2 linked regions of the Lepisosteus oculatus genome follow. The protein of the gene in region 1 binds, or shares a complex with, the protein of each later gene. Links are inferred from orthologs where the notes say so. Each region holds a gene or a part of one and is shown on either strand. Other genes may lie near its edges.

Region 1 (9,789 bases):
CAGGTGCTCTACCTCCACCTTTGCCATGGCCTCCTTCGCTATGCTGCTCTCCTGCATCTCGTAGATGCATTTAATGAGCCAGACAAACTCCGGCATGGCATGCATGCTCTTCTTCTCCCCTTCCACGGGGGGAGGGATGGATTTGAAGTGCCTCTGCATCCCCTTGGACAAGCATTTCACCACCTGCTTGCACTTCCTGTCCAGCGAGGTGGGGGCCAGGCCGTACAGCAGGAGCAGACCCCGATGGCGCTGGGAGAGCAGCCCGGCTACGAAGGTGGCGGTCATCTGCAAATTGGGTGTCTCGGCTTCCCGGAGATCCCCCTCTGCTCCGGCGTCCTGACGGGCGCCGGAGTGCAGGCAGGGCCCGAGACACACGCAGGCCAGCGCCGACGGCTGCTTGCGTTGTGGGTGGAAGAGTTGCGGAATCGTGGAGCGGCTGAGGTTGTTGTCCAGCACAATGAAGAGACCGGCAAAGAAGCACTGGACTGTGAGGTGCAGGAACTCGTAGTGTTTGCCGCCCCGGGAAGAAAGGCTTTTAACAAGGACAAGGAAGCCTGCGAAGAGGTCCTCCTCTGTAACCCCGCACTGCTGGAGCTCCAGGTCCGAAAACACATAACTAGAGGACACAAGGCCACCCAAAGCCAACCTGCCCAGGTGCAGAAGTATGTGTGCATGATCGTGCATCCAAGTAGCCCCCAGGGGGCACTGCTGAGGGTGGGAGTGCTGTAGGAAGTGCTGAAGAATCATCAGGTAGACATCAGTGATGGTCTGTGGGCTACCCCCTCCCCGTCCCAGAAGCTCCTCGTGGCATTTGGAGACAATCCAGCAAAAGACCGGGATGTGACACAGCCCCAGGAGTGCCGTGTTGCCCCGCAAGGTGTCCATGACACAGGTAGCAATGCTGGGGTCACTGTGGTGCTTCTTCACAAAAGAGCTGATCCCATCCTGCGAGAAACCCCTCAGGGAGACTTCCTTCCGGATGTACTTTCTCAAAGAGGGTCCCACCACATCCGGCCGGCTTGTGACCAGCTTGCAGACGCCCTTCATCAGGCTGCCCTGGAAAAGGCTGAAGAGCATGGTGGGCACCGAAGTGGGCTGCGTCGGGGAACACTGCCCCTGCTCGTCCGTAAAGCGCATCCTGAGCTCATCCAGGCCATCGAAGGTGAAGAGGACCCTGTGGGGCTGGTCCAGGATGAAGTGGAATATCAGGTCCTGGTCAGCGTCCGGCCAGCAGCAGTGCTGGAAGAGCAGCTCCCGCAAACACAGTTCCTGGTGCATGGCGCTCAGCCGCCGGCAGCTGAAAGGGAACAGCAGGACAAAGTCCTGCAGCGCCGCCTCTCCAGCCCACAGCAGATGCAGGCGCTGCAGCAGAGTACTCTTCCCACTTCCAGCCTCGCCCGATATCAGCACTGTGTCCGCCTCCTTGTTCACGACCCCGACGGGAGACAAGATGTCCTCCAGGCCCAGAGGTCGCTGTGGCTCCCCAGAACCCTGCGCAACCTCCAGCACCCCTTCCGTGTAGATGTCCTCCAGAGACAGGTTCTCCATCCCACCGTACATGCTGAGGAACCGAGACTGGGCTGAGACCATGCTTCTCAGCTTCCTCTGGTATGTCAGAGGAACCGGATCTAGGAAACAAAGCCAGCGCACTGTATGTTTATCACTGCAACACAAAAATAGCACTGCTGAAACAGGTTTTGAGGAAAGGGAGTGATCACGATAAAGAAGTTCAAGTAGGCAGCTGTGTGGGCTGCAAAGGAACAGGTAAAGGTTAATTCCATGCTGAAAGGAAAAGAAAAATGACGCAATGTTTGGGCTGTGGAGCCTTTTTCAGATGCGACACTGGTCGGACACTTGAAGGAGGCTGCACGGACAAAACGATGAGTCTCTTTTCTTTTCCGTTCAGCCTGGAATAAACCTTTACCTGTTCCGTGATCATGTTAATGCTTATCAGGCTTTTAAATGAAATTGCACCAGTTTTGTCCAATATAACTAGTCCAGTGTTCACAGCACTGAATGGGAGAAAAAAAAAGTTTTAACAGGACTGATTTCCCCCCCAATAGATGAACACTTGGTTTGGTTGAGTCCAAGAACAGGTTTTACCAAAATGTTCCCAATATGATGATTCTGGGTGGATGGTGCGCACGATGGCGCAGTGGGGAGCTTTGCTGGAGCCCTGGGTTAGATTCTGGACCTGCGGTGCTGTCTGTGTGGCGTTTGTAGTTAGTTGTATATAGTTTGTAAACCTGGGTACGCTTGGGGTTTTGCCAGCTGCTCCAGTTTCCTCCCACAGTACAAAAAAACAAGTGCAGCTCAATTGGCTTCTGGGAAAATTGGTCCTAGTGTGAGTGTATACGACTCTGTGTGTGCCCTCTGATGGACTGGCATCCTGTCCAGGAAGTATCCTGCATTGTGTCTGCTGCATGCTGGGATAGGCATTGGCTCCCCCACGGCCCTGATTTGAATGAAGTGGCCAGAAACTGAAGCGATGGATTGCTTGATGAATGGAATTATAATGATTCGATATTAAATGTTGCCCACTCTGTTCCCAGACATACCTGGTTTGTGTGTGTCATCCGTCAGAGGCTGCGTGGGTCCTTTTCCTGTCTGCTGGATGTATGACAACAGGACCTCAGCTGCTGCCTCTCCCTTTGATCCGGCAAGATCCAGCAGTCTCCTGGCCTGCGCAACACAGACGCTTGACACCACCGGCATCTCGCAGGCTCCTGGTGTCCGGACCACAGAACCAAAAGCAGGCTCCAGGTGTCCAGACCAGAGAGACCCAACAGCAGGTTCCTGGTGCACGGACCACAGAACCAACAGCCGCCTCCAGCACATTCTTGACACTTGACGTATGTGTATGTACACTGCATTCTCTCACACTTCAACTGAAATGTGATTTGTGCATTAATCTGACTGCATTCAGTTACTGTTAGGGCACATATCTTCCTTTTAATGCTGCGGTATGAAAGCCATGCTCTGTCTCTCCAGGAAAAGGCAGTTTTGTTCATATTTAACAGATAGTATTACAGAACCACACTAAAAGAACACGTCTTTTCAGAAATAAGGCAACAATGACTGCTTAGTGCTGGATTTATTTATGTGAACTATCAATGTTTATATAAAGCATCATATCCCAGCTCAGGAATCCATCATGAAGACTGCGTACAGGACTGATCCCGTCAGACCAGACTTGTGAGCACAGAATTTCATAAGGCAGCAACATTGAGAAGCTAATAGCGTAATTTGAAAATCCTATGTGCACAGGAAGGTGTTGGATCCAGACAGATCTCTCAAATCCTGCGAAAAGAGACATGCAAAACTTGTCTGATGAAGTGCAAATTCCTCGGCTTCCCTTACCTGTTGCGAGGGTGTGTATATGGGCAACAGGACTTCATCGCAGTCATAAGCGCTGAAGCAACCTGCTTCCCTGAGGGTCCTCAGAGCCCCACCAGTGTTGCCATGGAGCTTCCTCACGAGACTGGGCCGCTCCCTCTGCAGGGTCCGAGTGCCAGTGGAGGGGATCTGCTCGGCTCCTCTGACCGGGCAGCTGCAGTTCCCCAGGGACAAGCCAGCTTTCTGATCCTGCGGGAGCACCTGGCCGATAGCTGTCAGCAGGAACTGGCAAGCCATCTCTCCTTTGCTCCAGAGGAGGTCAAGCAGTTCCCGGGCAGTAACGTGCAAGGCCTGCCCCGGAGCCCGCAGGCTCTCATAATCCTCCCCCAGCAGGACGTCCCAGGCCAGCAGGAGGTCCAACACGCTCTCCAGCCCGTCTGCCGCCCCCCCGCCCAGCACCCTCACCAGCTCAGTCCTCTGCGTCTGCACCAAGAGCTGGGCGCGCATGCCTCATCCTTCAGCACGGCCCTCCAAGACTCCCGCCAGACAGCAGCCCCACTCCAGCTTGCTGGAAGACAGAAGACTTCCACAGCACAGTTACTGACCTCGACTTGAGAAGGCAGTCGGACAGAAGCCCAGCAGGCGAAACTGACCTGATCTGGCTGCGCCAGTGGGCGGCTTGAAGTCGATTACTATTGCTGACCTCCTTGAGCTCTCTCAACAGTTCTGACACTACTGGAGCTCCACACCCACAGCAAAGTGGCGCTTGCAAAACAGCACAGGAAGCATCGCCTTCCTGGCATACAGTACTTACAGTGATGAAGAACTTCCCTTCGTGATGCAAACAGCTCCCTCAAAACGAAAGAGAAAATGCACCAAGCCTTGCCTTTACTACCCGGAGAAAATGCCCGACAGGCCGGGTTCTCCCCGTGTGCTCGGCAGACCTGTGACCCGTGAAAGCGCGCTCTCAACGCGGCAGACAGCGCGACTCACAGTACGTGCGACCTCCTGGCAAAGTCGAGAAATTGACCTACGGCAAAGAAGTGAAATGGGGAAGAGGTGTGCCAAAGGCGATGGGGGGTGTTCTTAAATTCAGTATGAAAATAATGTCTCCTTTTTTACTAAAGACAGCTGCAATCTAGCAATTTCAGATTTCCAAAACACGCCCCTGGACACAAGCCCAATGCTAATTTGGTGCAACCTCTGAATAGGTTGCTGAGCAGGTCACTGTAGAAGTGGCACAAAATCACCTGTAGGTTTTAATTGTGAAGTCTGACGGTCCTGTAGAACGCTTTCTGTTATTTTCGTACGTGCCAGTCAAATTGTTACCGGAGAATCCTTTTTCAGGTTAAATGGCGTCCCAAGACTTTTCGGCTCCTAACTACTGATTTCGTTAAATGTTTTTTTTCATGATAACTGGATTTTATTTTTCATCCGCCTTCCTTCATATCACTTTTGCCGGGGTCTGGCTGTTTTCCCCAGCTTCAGCTGAATGCGAACTACACAATCATTTTGGCCCGGAATAAAACATGCGCTGGTTAATCCTGGAGGTTCTACTTAAGATGTAAGGAATTGCATGTAAGAGAATAAAACCGCACTTTTAATTGTATTCACTAAAGATGTCAAAATGCGGGATTGACGTTTATCCCTCATAGAGTCTATTACACGAGTCTATCAACTCCTAAGAAGCGGTCTTCATTAAATTTTCTCAGCGTTGGAGTTCTGTTCACTGATATTTGTTATTGTGATTATATTACTATATTATTGTTGTAACACGTACAACAGTACAAATAAACACGCACGAAGTGTCAATGTTGACCGTAAAGGAGAAGCGTCTCCAGCAAGCGGCCTCGTGGATCTAGGGTGTTAGACTGATGACTGTGTATACTGTATATATATATATGTACACACACGCGTGTTTTACAGAATCCCTAAAAGATACTCCCTGAGAGGACAAACAGACGGAGAAGCCTTACTGGGGAACCAGGTCCGTGAGGGGCGGCACGCAGGACGGCATACAATCTGGAGACGCTCGTTAACTCGCTGCACCGGTGCACTGAAGGAGTCGGATAGTTTCAGCTTCACCGTCCGTTTCTTTTCGAGAATCAAATCTGGAGCCTATTTTGCGTATAAATAAGGTTTAAATCCAAACGTTTCTTTGACCAACATCGCAGACGTGGACAACCGAAACTAACATAAAAGGCAAATGCTGACAAGATTAAAAAATCCGAGACGAGACAATTTCTTACGTGTCAGCTGCATTCTTGTCCTACAGTAAAAGCTTCCAGTCCCGGTGACCCACACACACACCTGTTGGTTTTGTCCCAGCCGAGTCCTCAGTTATACAGTCAAACCCTCCATTGACTTAGTAGTAAAAAGATTAATTTGAACTGCCTGTTCCCCAGCTCTTAAGCATGTTGGAACTTGAACCGTGTAATTTCGTAAATGAAATAAAATGCAAATATTCAATTGAGGCAACTTCTGAGATCAAGTAAGACTTCGGTTCTCTGATGAAGGTGGGCTGGGATCCGCTGGTCTACAGTGATCAAACGACACCTTATTCCGTCCCGCCCCCACATACAGAAACAGGTGCCCGATCGCGTTTGGATTTCTTTTGTATCTAAACTTTATTATTACCACTTGAAGAGCAACACTGCTTTACTGTGTATTCCAGTGGTCCCAAGCATAATTGTCCTTAGAATATATTAAAACATGGTAATAGGGGAAGTGACTGTGATTTTGGAACACAGAAATCCAGGTGTGAACACTTGGAACATTTGCAATTAAAAACATCAGGAGAGCTGCTACTGGCTCATATTGACACATTTAAAGACATTTTTTCAATTCAATAAGTGGGGTTGGGGGGGCACTTACCATAGGAATCTCCAACCCTGGTCATTCTGAGCCTCAAACCAGATATTATTAAAGATCACCCCTCAATCACCTGTTATGTAAGGATTAGAGACACTTGGTTAAGTAATTGATCAATTAAGCAAGTAATGGGTCAGTGAGAGGACCACTTGTCTCGCTGAATGTCTTAAATACACCAGTTCCTTCAGAAACTGATGATGTAAAGGCTGCCTCTAAAGTCTGGACTGGGGCTTTTCAGGATCAGGGTTGGAGATGTCTGACACAGATCCTGGAGATCCTTACATTTACTTAGTTCAGGTCTCCCGTCTCCTGCATCTAAAGATTTAGAACACTTTGAAGTTATTGATCAAATTGAACAAATAGTTTGTTTAATGACCTTTTCCTTCACAAGATGAGGGGTATTCACATTTTTGTTCTAAAGTATCTTTTACGATACTTAAATTACCTTACATGGCCCACTGGACTGGAAAGTCAGCAGCACCAGAGCTGGCCTCTGGCTTTTTTAGCCTGCTTGTTTTAAGGGGTTGGTCCTGCTCTTGGTATGAGCCACTTTCCTTGGTGGGTCCGAGTGAAGGGAAGCGATTGCAAGATCTGACTCAGAAGCCAGCTGATTCATCTCTGCCCTGCACACACAAGCACCACTCCTTCCCTGCACACACAGACCTCCACCCCCTCTCCACAGTGTGAGCGCAGACCAATCACAGTACACATCGCAGACCAGCACTTCCTTCCTCAAAGCCCGAGACCTGTTTCTCTTTTTCTCCCCCTAGGCAGTGCCATTTGACAGAGTCTAGCGTGACCTTGCAGGGCCAGAACGCCCAGGCTAACAGGATGCTCACCTCCGTCAATATGGCATATTCATCCTTGGTAAGAGAGCGCAACACGTGAGCATGGTGTGGAACTGAAAACATTAACAGGAATACACTGGCACGGCAGTGCGGGTAAGCAGCCCAGTTTTATGTTATATTTCAGCTCCTGATGCAAACAGAACAGGGAGGTTCAGTGCTCACCAGCCAAGTGTATTGTAGGAGGTCAGAGTTCAGAGGTCAGAGGCCAGGGGTAAAACCCAGTTCGTCACAATTTATGCTGGTTTCAGACCCGCGCTTGTCCACAGAGGTGCTATACTACAAAGCCATGTAGAGCATCACTTCCTCATTTTACAGACTCGCCAAACTGTCAGCTGGGATACAAACAGAGAGAGAACCTTTGAGAGAGGAAGCCCAGTGTTTTGGCTAGACTGTGGATCAAGTGAAAGAAAAAGTAAAATAATGTTATTATCCCATAAAGGAGGAATTTTCAGTTAAGTACACCAACAGCATTGTTAATAGCAACGACTTCGAAAGGACGGGTACCCCCTAGAATACATTTGAGTTTATCTAGTTTCTCTGGGGAAACTGATTAATTATTCTTCAAACACAAAGCTTTCATTGTGGTTGTGTAGTTTGGATTCGTATGGGTTTTCATTTCCATTTGACCTTGACTGCAGTGGAGAGCTCAGCTCTGCCTGCAGAACTGCAGCTGTAGCTGGTTGATCTCTAGCCCAGTTGCACTCACTTATCCACAGGCTACAGCCTGGGCTCTTGCTGCGCTTCCCAGAGATATCCGCGCAACACGAATTTCTAAATTCTCTACATCACTCCTTTAAGAAAATGAAAGCACAGATTGATTTTAAAAGACCTCCGGATCTTTCCCCAAGTGCAGTTTGCATTTCTAAGTTGTTGTTTCCAATGGAGACCTCTAAAGACAAAGCAGTGCCTCAGAGAAATATTTCTAAAATTTTGTGCTCTCTCCCCTGTCCCATTCATGACACTGTTCTTCTTCTTTTATTCAGAAATCACTTACAGGATAATCACAGACTAATGGTTAGGAAACAACCCAATTAATCATATCGGAAACGTGCAGATTAATTTAATTGTCGACTGTGCTTCAAAGCTAGGCTTTTATGCATGTCCATATCAAGATTATTTGTAGTATATGAAATGCCCGTATTCTCCATCATAACATTCCAGTTAGAGAACGAGCAAAATTCAGATAAAATATGAAAGCATCACAACTCCTAGATGGCTATAAAATCAGAATGGTAACAAATTAAAAACCCTTCAGCTCATCACACCCGTTTTGGCTGCAAGATCTCATCCATCTGTTTCTCAAGGGTTCACAGGGAATCGGCTTCAATCCAGCATCTTGGTGGCTTGTTCCAGGCACCCATCCCCTGTTTGTAAAAGAGTGCTTTCAATTCTCAGTCCTCAGTGTGCTTCCTCATATCTTCCAGTTGTGCCCGCTGCTCTTTGCAATGAAAGTAAGACACTAGGACTCTGTATACAATATCTATTGACTATACTGTATGTGTCTCATGTCCTTTGCATAGAAAGTAAGACACTAGGACTCTGTTTACAATATCTATTGATTATATGTGTCTCATGTCCTTTGCAATGGAAGTAAGACACTAGGACTCTGTATACAATATCCATTGACTATACTGTATGTGTCTCATGTCCTTTGCAATGGAAGTAAGACACTAGGACTCTGTGTACTCTGTGTCCCATCACAGGGAGACCCAGACTGTTCTGCCAATGGGGGATACCTGTGATGATGGGCAGATGGGTCCCTGCCTGGACGAGGATTATGGATTGACGCAGCCGGCAGCGGAGTCTGACACCCGGACAGGGCACCGTGTCCATCATGCCCCGGCTTCACCACCAAGTCCCCAGCTGGACCCTGCAGCTCTCGGTTCGTGAAACACTTCGCCTCTTTAGAACGCAGTGCTTGAAGCCCAGGCGTGCTGCTGCAGAGCAGAGAAACCGCCGGAATACAGTGAAACACAAACTCGTTTCTAAGAGTCTTTTATTTTTGTCACTGTCTTCCGTGCTTGTGGCCGTGTGTCCGCATGTGCGCGCTGCAGGCGGGGATCTGAGCCCCAGCTCCAGCTCCTCCATGACCACGAAGGAGCTGCAGGAGTACTGGCAGGGGGTGAAGTCCCGGGAGAAGCCGGTTAAGCTGCTGTTCGAGATCCCCTCCGCCCGCATCGTGGAGCAGCCCCTGTGCAGATACGTGGTGAGCTCACTGAGGCGATATCCCAGGTGCAGGAAGGAGAAAAGAGGCCAGATTGGACGGTTTGCTCGCTGCTCGACCGCAGTGGAAATGGCTTTGAGGTTTGAAGTCTGCGTGGCTCATAAGAACATAAGTGAATTTGTGAAACAGAATGGGTCATTCGGAAAAACATAATAAAGAGTTACAAACGAGAGGAGGCCATTTGGCCCATCAAGCCTGTTAGCTCGTTAGTGAGTTAATGAGTAGCTGATAGATCCAAAGATCTCATCTGGCCAATTCCTGAAGAAAGTCAGGGTACCAGCTTCAACAACATGGCTGGGTAGCTGTCATGAATGCAGATCTTCTGTTACTTGATCTTCTTAATTCACACTGCTCTGTGGCGTAGCTACGTTTGTACCCTTCTGTATTCATTCTGGAAAGGGTTGATAGAATGACGATCCGGATCCCTTGTCCTTTTACCTGGCTCACTGGTGATCCTCACGCAATCCTCCCTCGGGACGGTAACGTCTCTTATATCCGAGTAGAGAGTGT
Region 2 (9,961 bases), on another chromosome or scaffold:
GAAGGATTGGGTAGCATCAAACTCCTTGAGTAACAATTTGAATGTCACAAATTGAGTTGACGATCTTGACAACATGTCAGAAGTCAATAATCTTACTTGCAATTACTGGTTTGTTGACAGTGGTAACTGGCAAAGGAGGGGAATTCAGGATTAATTCTGCCAACTGAAATAAATTCTGCATTGACACCTAGTATTGCTGATGCACCATCAGTTGTGATTGAAATCAGTTTCTCCATTGGAAAGCTTTTCCTAGTCGCATGCATTTTAAATTTGTTGTAGATTGGATTTTGGAAATTTGTTGGATTTTGACAAGACACGTCCTCGGACAACCTTTCTACCCTTCTGGCAACTGTTGAAGAGCCAAGCAGCACGCTCTCTATAGTTGTCATGATTTCATCTTTGTTTTTTAAGTCTCTGACCTAAAAAAACATCGCTTGCTTAATAACGTCTCCATCAGTGAATGATTTCCTGTGTTTCACCAGTCCATGGCTACTGCAAAACGACACCTCTGTGTTGGGCTTGCCTTTTGACAGACGTTTAGAAAAGTGAATTTAAAATGTCCTTTAACTGCTCAACATTACTTGTCCAAATCTGTTTTTGCATGGAGTCAAGATGCAGTTCAAAATAGCTAATTTTTCTCAAGGCTACGCTCTGGTAGCAAATGCTTCTGTCTTTGAAACTGGTGAAAGGAAATTAGCTTTCCCAGTTTGGGAATAAATGTATGTTTTTACCCTCTTTTTTGATGGTCCTGGCTCCTCTTTCATTATCTTTGCTTTACAAAATGAATCCTTAAAAAATGGGAAAAAAATCAAAACCAAAATCCTAGCTAATTCCACGCGTTGGGTCATATTTTGACGACAACAGTGACCCGTATAGTGACTCCGTCACAGATGGGTAGTCGGTTAGTTTAAAATATAGCAATTTGTCATCTAAAGAAATTGTCATTTCAGACAGTTTTTTTTTAATGTTTGAAAGAAATTGTTTTAAAAATGTACAGTTTATCCACAATCCAGTCTCCATAGTAGCTTCCTTCATGATACAGGCTGTCGGTAGGATCTTGCTTGGGGTCTTGTCTGTGCTAGTTTATGATGCTATCGCCATGTCAACTGTCTTCCCAGGATCCATCCAGAAACCATAGAGCGTATAGGCTGACTGTGGCCAAGCTAGACCCTCCTATCATTCCCTTCATGCCTTTACTCATGAAAGGTAAGATGCTGGTGTCAAAGGTCACTTGCACTATAATACTACCATGCCTTGCCACACATTCATGGAATCTTATAACTTTTTTATAAGAGGAAAGGATACAGTATATAAAGAATATATAAAAGGTGTTTTGGAATGACTCTTAGCATATACAGAGACATACGTGCTTCAGAAGGATAGCAAAAATGTTCGGAGTAGTTGGCAAAAGAATGGAATTAATACTTCATGTCCGTAAAACTTGTGGCTTGTAAATTTCATGCACCCACTTAATTTGGTAATGTATTTTGCAGTTCTTAAAAACATCTGCATCTTTTTACCCAAGTATCAAATTTAAATATCACAACGTTTTTTATACTGTATATAAACCATCAGAGTACCTTATCGTCCATCTAATAGATTTTTTGGCTTAGTTCCTAACAGATCTTTCTTTTTTTGCTTTAGACATGACGTTTACACATGAAGGCAACAAGACTTTTATAGACAGCCTTGTCAATTTTGAAAAAATGGTAAGTCTTGTATGTTGCCACTGAGCATATTCAAAAGTATTCACCCCATCCATTTTAGGTAGGTCCCTTTTCAGGCCATAAAGGCCTATGGGGGGAATGGGGGACAAGGGCCAGCATTTTTCTTGACCATCTGACACTGGAGGTGGTGGTGATGTGGTCAGCATCATGCTCTGGCTGGCTATTACCCACAGAAGGATAAACCCCGGTGCTCATTTGGAAAGCAGGCTGAGTGGACCTGGGAGCTGTCTGGGAGGAATTAGAGCAAGCTCCATTGCTTGCCCCTACCTAGGATTGAACCTGGGACCTTCCAGTCAGGAGCTAGACACCCTTGCCATCTGAGCCACCACACCCTCCCCGTCTAGTGTAGTGCTATTTTACTGAATTACAAATAATGTGCAAACATTTCTCCAGTGGCTGTTTCAAATCAAAACATGAATGATCAAACTGAACACTTTTATGGGTGAAAGATTTGAAGTGGTAGCAAACACTAAGGCAAAAAATGAAGAACTGTATTGTGGTAATTGCAGAAGTATTCACCCCTTTGAGTGACTATGTACTGGCCTTTAGTATTGTCATTGTACTCGGGTACATATGACAATAAATGTGAACTTGGACAAGTTTATTGAACAAGCCCCAGAGTCTCCTGGGATGAGTTTCTGCCAACTTTGCACACCAGAATGGTTCGATTTCTACCCATTGGTCTTTGCAAACTTGCTGAAGCTCTGTTAAGTTGTTAGGAGATTGAAGATAGACAGCAGACGAACAACAGGTATGGTGCCTTAAACTGTAATTGGAGGTCATGAGAGCCTTTTAAGAATTCACTGCTGGGTTTTGTTTTGCAGCGCATGATTGCCAACACAGTGAGGATAGTGAGATACTGTCGGAGTCAGCCTTTCAGTAAGTCGCGGACAAAAACCTAAAAGCTCTCTTGAGCCTAGGGTTTCTGTTCTTAGTTATGCACGTTCTTTTATTGTCTATTGTTTTGTCAGATCTTATGGAATCCATTGCTTGCCTTACTGTATAAGTATAGTGTAAAATTATTTGTCAAAAAATAGAGTAGTAGAAGAGGAGTGTGTTGCCATCTGTACATGTCCACTGGAATTCTTATTCATGCTGACCTCTCAGGACATACACAGTACAGCAGACGATACAGTACAACACCACACAATGTAGACGGTACATTACAAACATAATAAATAACAGGTGATGGTTGCACGTGGATGTGTTACACAAAAAAAGGGACTTAATACAAAAATGAACAACATAAACGAGCGAACTACACGCCAGACGTCACCATGGAACGGGCCCATCTTGAATCATGAGACATTGTATCTGCACGTCAGGGCAGGTGGGCAACTTATTCTAACTGCACTTTTTCTGACAACATTATTTATTGGGGGCAAGCCTGAATGGACTATCCAAGAGTAATCGTTTAGTGCCTTAGGGTATTATCCATAGGTTAGTACAGTCTGTTAGCACATCTCTATTTGCAGCTTGTCTGGGGGTTAAATTTCTTCAAAGATCTATTATTAGATTTATATTTTGCTGTATGAAGCCTTTCAGGAAAGTAACTGAATGGTGTTATCAGACATAGCAGGGACGGGTTTCATTTGTCATCCTCAATTACAGCAGAACATTTCCTGGACGCCACGGTGAGGGAGTGCGTGGGACTGGTGATTCAGAAATGTCACAGCTTATTTACGGCTCTCTTTACAGTTCCCTTTGATTTAATTGTCCATTTTTGCGTTTCCACTCTCCCCAGATCCAGATGCTTCCCTAGCTAATAAGAACCACCAGGAAGTGCGGAGCTATGTCCGGCAGCTGAATGTGGTTGATAACCAGAGGACGCTGTCCCAGCTGTCTCACAGACTGGAACCCCGGAGGAACTAGTGGCGTGGCCACTCCAGGGGCTTGAGGAGAGTGCGCGTGTCTCTGCTGTACTTCCCAAAGGAATCTGTTCTTCTTGTATGATATCATTAACATCACAGAGACCTTCCCAGAGGCTCGTCCTGGGCTATCCCATGATCCCGTTCCTCAGTGTCGAAGCACTTTTTCTATTCGTCTGCTCCTTTCTTAGTGTGTTTTCAGATAATATATTTGCTTTGGGTATCCCCATGTTTTCAGTATGTGAGCTACTTCCTTTTAGGATTAAGAAACAAAACAGAAAATGTTTTCTGCCGCCTGAGCCTCTGCATCCCTAAACTGCAAACATTTCAGAAGCAAAAGTGAAACCAAGTACGTACATTTCAAACGTCCAAAGGTCCTGGGACTTCATGAACAGAAATACTTACAATGATTTCTTACAATCATTTGCCCTTAAATTTTAATTTAGATTAATAATGACCTGCTGTACTATCACTGGCATTTTGTCCAAATCCAAATTAATCTTGATCCGTATTTGTATCATTTTGTCTGTATAGCTTGAGTTTGCTTTTTACTGACTTATCACAGAACAAAGGCTTTTATTTTTTTAAATTTGAAACGCCTTCTAAGAAATCATTTTCTGCCTTCAGAACCATTGAAGTTGCTTTGTAAATATGGAGGTTATTTATAGATCTTTTAGTTTGGTGTGAACATCATATTTAACATATGGTGATAAATATATTAATTTTATTATGTGGACTTTAGCATGCAATTAATTATACTAGAAGAAAAAAGAACAGATTGCACCCCCTCTGTAGAGAATGTGTGATGTATGTGATGTCTTATAGCTTTGTACTGTATATGTATTCTGTAAATAAAATATACCTATTAAATGTATTTGCTCAAAAAATGTTTCCCTGCTTCTCATCTGATCGTGCAACATGCAGTACTTTTACATAAGCCCATTTTGTTACAGAAAAACATCATATCTCACAATATCATTTTTGCAATGTAATTTTGCCCTGCAATGAATTAGTCCCCACAAAGTCGTTTGAAATAAAAGCTGGGAATACAATTTAAACAGGGCACAGAAAATGTGACAGTGACAAATGCTATCATTTATTTCATGTAGTTTGTATTAGGATTCAGATTTTTAGTCAACTGGACCATACCAATTCAACCATACAAGTTGTGAATTGGAATCACACATTACTTAACAGTTCAATGAAGAAAGCGGTAGAGACTGTCTCCTGCACTAACACAGTTTGTAATTTAGCTCCGGAAAGGGAAGAAGTGTTTGGTTTTGACTTATGTAAGCTTCAGAGACAACAGTTTCTTTGACCCTTGACCAGCATTTATTATGTAACTGTTAGAAGCTGAAGATATGTCATAGGTGCTGGTGGTATGCTGGTGGTATGCTCACCACACATTGGCTATCTGTGGGGAGGAGAACAGAGGAATGAAGGGAATTATTAGGACATCATGATTGTATAGGCCAGGGGGGAATTTGGCCAGAATTAGGCGTTAACACCTGCTGTAGTCCAGAACAGGGACAGGGAATAAAACCAGGGTAACGAGGCCAGGCGCTCGGAGCCTCGGACTCAGATGGCCAGGACGCCGTGATGAAGCCTATGCCGTCGGGTCTCACCTGGACCCTCTGGTAGGCATGCTTCCGGGCGTCCATCTACCACTGCTGAGCCAGTAATAGCGAGAGCGACGGGCTTTAATAATGGGACACAGGACAGGTTGCAGGTGCACACAATAAACTAAAATAGAAAGGGTCGGACCGCCCGTAAGAGGAGGGATCCCGATCGTGACATATAGCGGTTTGGCAGTTGTGAGTTGCAGGGTGATACTGTATAGTGTAGACTGGTGTAAAAGTGCCAGTATGAATCAGACACCTCAAGACAATGAGAACAGTCTTTCATGAGGGGTGAGCTCATGTTCTAATTGCCCATGACTTTCTCTGTTGGGGTTACTTCTCTCACAGGTCATTTGCAAGCAGCGGGTTTTCCAAAGTGGGGAGAAAATATAAGACGTGATCCACAGTTGTTAATAATTCGTTAAAAACACTGAAAGTCTGAAATACAAAAAAACGTAACAAGTGTCGAAAGTCCTTTTCTGCATTCTAAATAATAATTGATAATAAAAACGAATGTTACTGTTGTTAAAGCATATATGTTGAGGCAGAAACTTCGCATTTTATTCTCTTAGTCGGGTAGTTTTACTTGATTTTCAAGCTTTCAGTTACTTCCTACAACTTGGTCATAGCCCAGCCCTAGAGCCCGAGTTGTTTGAACTACTTAGCACCCACGCAATTTGTAGGCGCTGCATGGAGTAACGTGATAGGTGTCTCCGGTTCAGGAACCTCTTTCCTTTCCCATTTTTGTCCGATAAGTGGAGCTGTTGCAATCAAAATGTGCGATACGTTGTGGCGGACACAAGGATAAAAGTTGTGCACTCCTGTTAAGGAAGAAGTTAAGCAAGAGCTAAAATCGTAGAAGACAAAAAAAAAAAGCTCACGTCATAGATTTCGAAAATCTCGTTTCTGCATATCGTGTTGCGAGGTGGGATAGTCAAATTTACGGATTCGGAAGCCGTGCCTCGACTCGACCTGCAGAATATTATTAACACAAGAGGTATGTGTGGTCTTGGTATTTCTTGGTAGTTCTTGGTCTTGGTTTTTCTGAGTGAGTCCGCTTCCGGTAGAAAGGGAAACCATTTTTGTCTAAGCAATCTCTTAAATAGCTTAATGAGAGAGCAAAAAGTAATTCTGCATAGTTAGCTCTCACACATACTGTACATATGAGTGATCCTGGTCGTGTCTAAGAAACACTGTAGACTTCGGTCTGGGTGCCTTGTGCACATTTTCATAGAATTGTGGGTCAGGACCTAGAATCCAATTATTCATGATGTGAAATTAAATATTTATGAATTACATTTTTTCCCGAAAGATGCATTTGTTAAAGGGTAGTCGGTGATTTAATGTTTCGTGGTCACGTGTCTACACTCGACGAGATCTGTCACTTGGTTTCACGTTGTCTTTTGACAGCTGGGAAGAAGGAAAGAGGCAGAGGGCAGTCATTTTGTAATACTATACATCGGTGTTGTAACTAAGCACACTACACCAGAACTGTATCATCTTTTAAATGTGGTTTGGGCCTGAGCCTTTGGCTGATCTGTAAACACGTGGTAAGTTGTTCATGGAAATGAAATGTCTGTCAGTGCTGGTCAGTGCTCACAAATACCGGTCTGATGACTGCCGCCTCTTCACTTACCTTAAGAAATCAAGAACTTATAACTGCATGGCCCTTAACGACAGTTATCTCAAACTTACTGGCTTCACACACGCCTGCTTTTCGGCAACAGTTGATTACAGTATAGCTTTATGAAAGCCTTTAGTATAATTAGGATTTTAGGTTCGTAAGGCAGCACACGTGAGTACGCTATTGGCCAACAGGATTGCGTGGAACAGCTGAATTGTGGAGAGAGTGCATTTGGAAAGTAAGGAACTTATCAGCATGCTTTCGATTTCTCCATTTCACTTGCATATCTCTTAAAACAAGAACCTGAGAAAGGCTACAAGCGAGAACTGGCCATTCAGACATCTAGCCCGTTCCATAGATTAATGCTAGTTGATCTGGAAATTGGCTCTTGAAAGAAACCGTTCTTTTAGCCTCAACAACATTGCTGAGTACTGTAGCTTGTTCAAAATTCCCACCGTCTTTTGTTTAAAGAAATGTCTCCTATTCTCTGTTTTAAATGCACTTTCAAGTAGTTTCCACTTGAAATTGAGGATTTTAGAATCGGGTTCCGTTATAGTCTTATCTGTTCTGTATTGACATAATATTAATAATATCATAATATTCTAAATGAGGGCTTACTCATTTGCATTGTACAATTTTAACATAACATCATATGGTTTAAATTCTCTGTATTTAACAGGATCTTAGCATTTTGTTTGCCTTTTTATTGCATCCTTACATTGTTGCTGAAGATGTGTTAACATACAGTAACTAAGTCATTTTTACAGCTTGCTTCTTCCTATTTGGTACAGCACTATATCTATATATCTCTTTTCTTTTTGCTACCCGTATGTAGTATTCGGCATTTCTTACATTAAACATGATCTCCCAGTTGTTTGCCCTGTCTTGAATTTTATCTAAATCATTTGAAACCTGATTTGCTGTTTCTAGAGTGTTTTCTTATCCTCCTGCCTTTGTATTGTCTGGAAGCCTGACAGGTTGACTAACTACAGCTGAATCTAGATAACTGATATCAATTAGGAAGAGCACAAATCTTAATCCAAAGTCCTAGCATCCTGAAGATACAACAGAAGCTTGCACCACTAGTGTTTCCACATTCTAAAACACTCATTTCCCACTCAGGTCTGTACTTTTGTGCCAGATTTTCTTCAATAGGTGTGAAAATAGCTGTGCTTGCTAACATGGGGGCAGAATAAGAAATTGTAAGGCATTTCTGTTTTCCGTAGCATTACAATTAGGTAAAAGCCAATTAGAGGCGAAGGGTGGACTTGTGCTTAGTGCTGTAGATTCTCAGCTGAAAGGTTTGGGGTTCATAGCCCACGTTGGACACTGTTTGTGTGCCCAGGTCTAAATTGCTTCAGGAATAACCTGCTGTATTAATGGTTCAGGGTGTCTCTGTAAATGAGAAATGGTATTTGATTGACCGAACTGGCAAAATGAATTTCACCTGAAAACCTAAGCATATCAATGCTGAGCCATATCGACACATCTTACATATTGTACTGTATATTGAGATAGACGAGGGTCTACTGCCTCCTCTTCTGGAGGCATGGGTTCAAAACCTACAGTACCTCACCATTCAGCACATGGGCTAGATGGCCGAAGGACCTCTTGATGTTTGTAACCTTTAATGCATTCCTGTGAATCATGTTCAGATGTTCACACTTGACCTGCTGAGAGTAACTCACAGTAACGCCGAAGTGAGATTGGCTTTTTACTGCTGTGGCGCTTCATTAAAAGACCGTACTTGTGATGAGTGAGTTGACTGGTGCTGTCAGGAGGAAGACCGTTTGGACTTCTTGTCCTCTCAAGTTTGCCAGCCCTGGTGGCATGTGTTGTATTGAAAAATGTAGTTGAGTCACAGATTGAGCAACTCAGCAAAGTCCTTCTAAGTGCAGTTACTATACAGCTTGGTATTGACTAAGGTGGAGTTCCTATCAGTCACATTCTATCAGTAGGTTTTAGTAAAATAGTTTGCACATTACAAACTGAGATTTAATTACAGGGAGAAGATAAATGATAATTTTTCACATTTTACTAGTGTTCCTCAAGCTTGTTTCATTTTTATTTGGTTGCAGTGTAAAATATAGGATACTTCTAAAAATAATACTCATTATTGCATTATTGGGGTAATTTTCTCTTAATTGGCACTACTGCATGAGACATATTCTGACGAGTGTTAAATTCGGTGGCCAGTACAAGAAAGTATTAGTATGATTTCCTCCATATCCACGTAACCCTGGAATTTGAGTACCAGTGGAAACTGTTTGTAAAATTCACTCACTACAAAGATAGCACAGTTCCCAGAGTAAATCTCAGGAGAGCTTTGGTTCCCCTGTGTGACAATGAAAGCATTTCCTGTTGGTCACAACCGAATTGAGCAGCCTGTTTAAAAGCCATAATTACCATAAAATCCATGTACCATAAATATTAGAAGTTTGATGTTGCACTTGCTGCCTCATGTGTTTTTTTAAATACACCTTCCCCTCATTATATCATGGGTGATCAGGAATCAGGGATCAAAATACAGTAAATCCATCATATACTGTACTGTACCAGGAGCTGTGATATTATTGTAGCTGGTTGTAGGGTTAAATTTTAAGCAGGAAATTTTAACCAGATGTCAAGATCCAGCATAAAACCTCATGAAGCTTTATTAGAAAAAAAAATGTTTATGTATTTATATATATTACTTATATAGTGCTTTTCTGGACACTCTACTCAAAGGCATTTACAGGTAACGGGGACTCCAATGTGTAGCCCCCACCTGGATCGTGCAACAGCAGCCGCAGTGTGCCAGAACACTCACCACACATCAGCTGTCAGTGGGGAGGAGAACAGAGTGATGAAGCCAATTCATAGATGGGGATTATTAGGAGGCCATGATTGGTAAAGGCCAGGAGGAAATTCAGCCAGGACGCCAGGGTTAACACCCCTACTCTTGGGAAATGTCCTGGGATCTGTATTTGCATTTGTAATGACCACAGAGAGTCGGGAAGTCGATTTTACGTCTCATCTGAAGGATGGAGGCATCTTCTCCAGTCCAGCGTGCAGTACATAAACTACAGTACATTTAAGACATGACACTGAAAACAAACAAATAGGTTCTACAAAGCAAAACCA

Evidence for each region.
Region 2: nod2 (region 1) and map3k20a share a complex: the UniProt entries of both Homo sapiens proteins name them as parts of the signaling complex. The link is inferred for Lepisosteus oculatus from reciprocal best matches to the Homo sapiens genes NOD2 and MAP3K20.

What each region holds. Positions count from the first base shown.
Region 1 is NC_090715.1:2,168,790-2,178,578, reverse strand, and holds the start of nod2 (nucleotide-binding oligomerization domain-containing protein 2), read right to left. Parts: upstream 4,349-9,789; 5' UTR 3,844-4,348; coding exon 3,361-3,843; intron 2,683-3,360; coding exon 2,559-2,682; intron 1,629-2,558; coding exon 1-1,628. Other genes in the region: snx20 (sorting nexin-20), read left to right, coding at 8,781-8,937, 9,110-9,261. UniProt on the Homo sapiens protein: Pattern recognition receptor (PRR) that detects bacterial peptidoglycan fragments and other danger signals and plays an important role in gastrointestinal immunity.
Region 2 is NC_090707.1:16,731,740-16,741,700, forward strand, and holds the start of map3k20a (mitogen-activated protein kinase kinase kinase 20), read left to right. Parts: upstream 1-5,973; 5' UTR 5,974-6,211; intron 6,212-6,808; exon of another isoform or gene 6,809-7,076; intron 7,077-9,961. Other genes in the region: rapgef4a (rap guanine nucleotide exchange factor 4), read left to right, coding at 1,119-1,206, 1,645-1,709, 2,552-2,606, 3,472-3,599. UniProt on the Homo sapiens protein: Stress-activated component of a protein kinase signal transduction cascade that promotes programmed cell death in response to various stress, such as ribosomal stress, osmotic shock and ionizing radiation.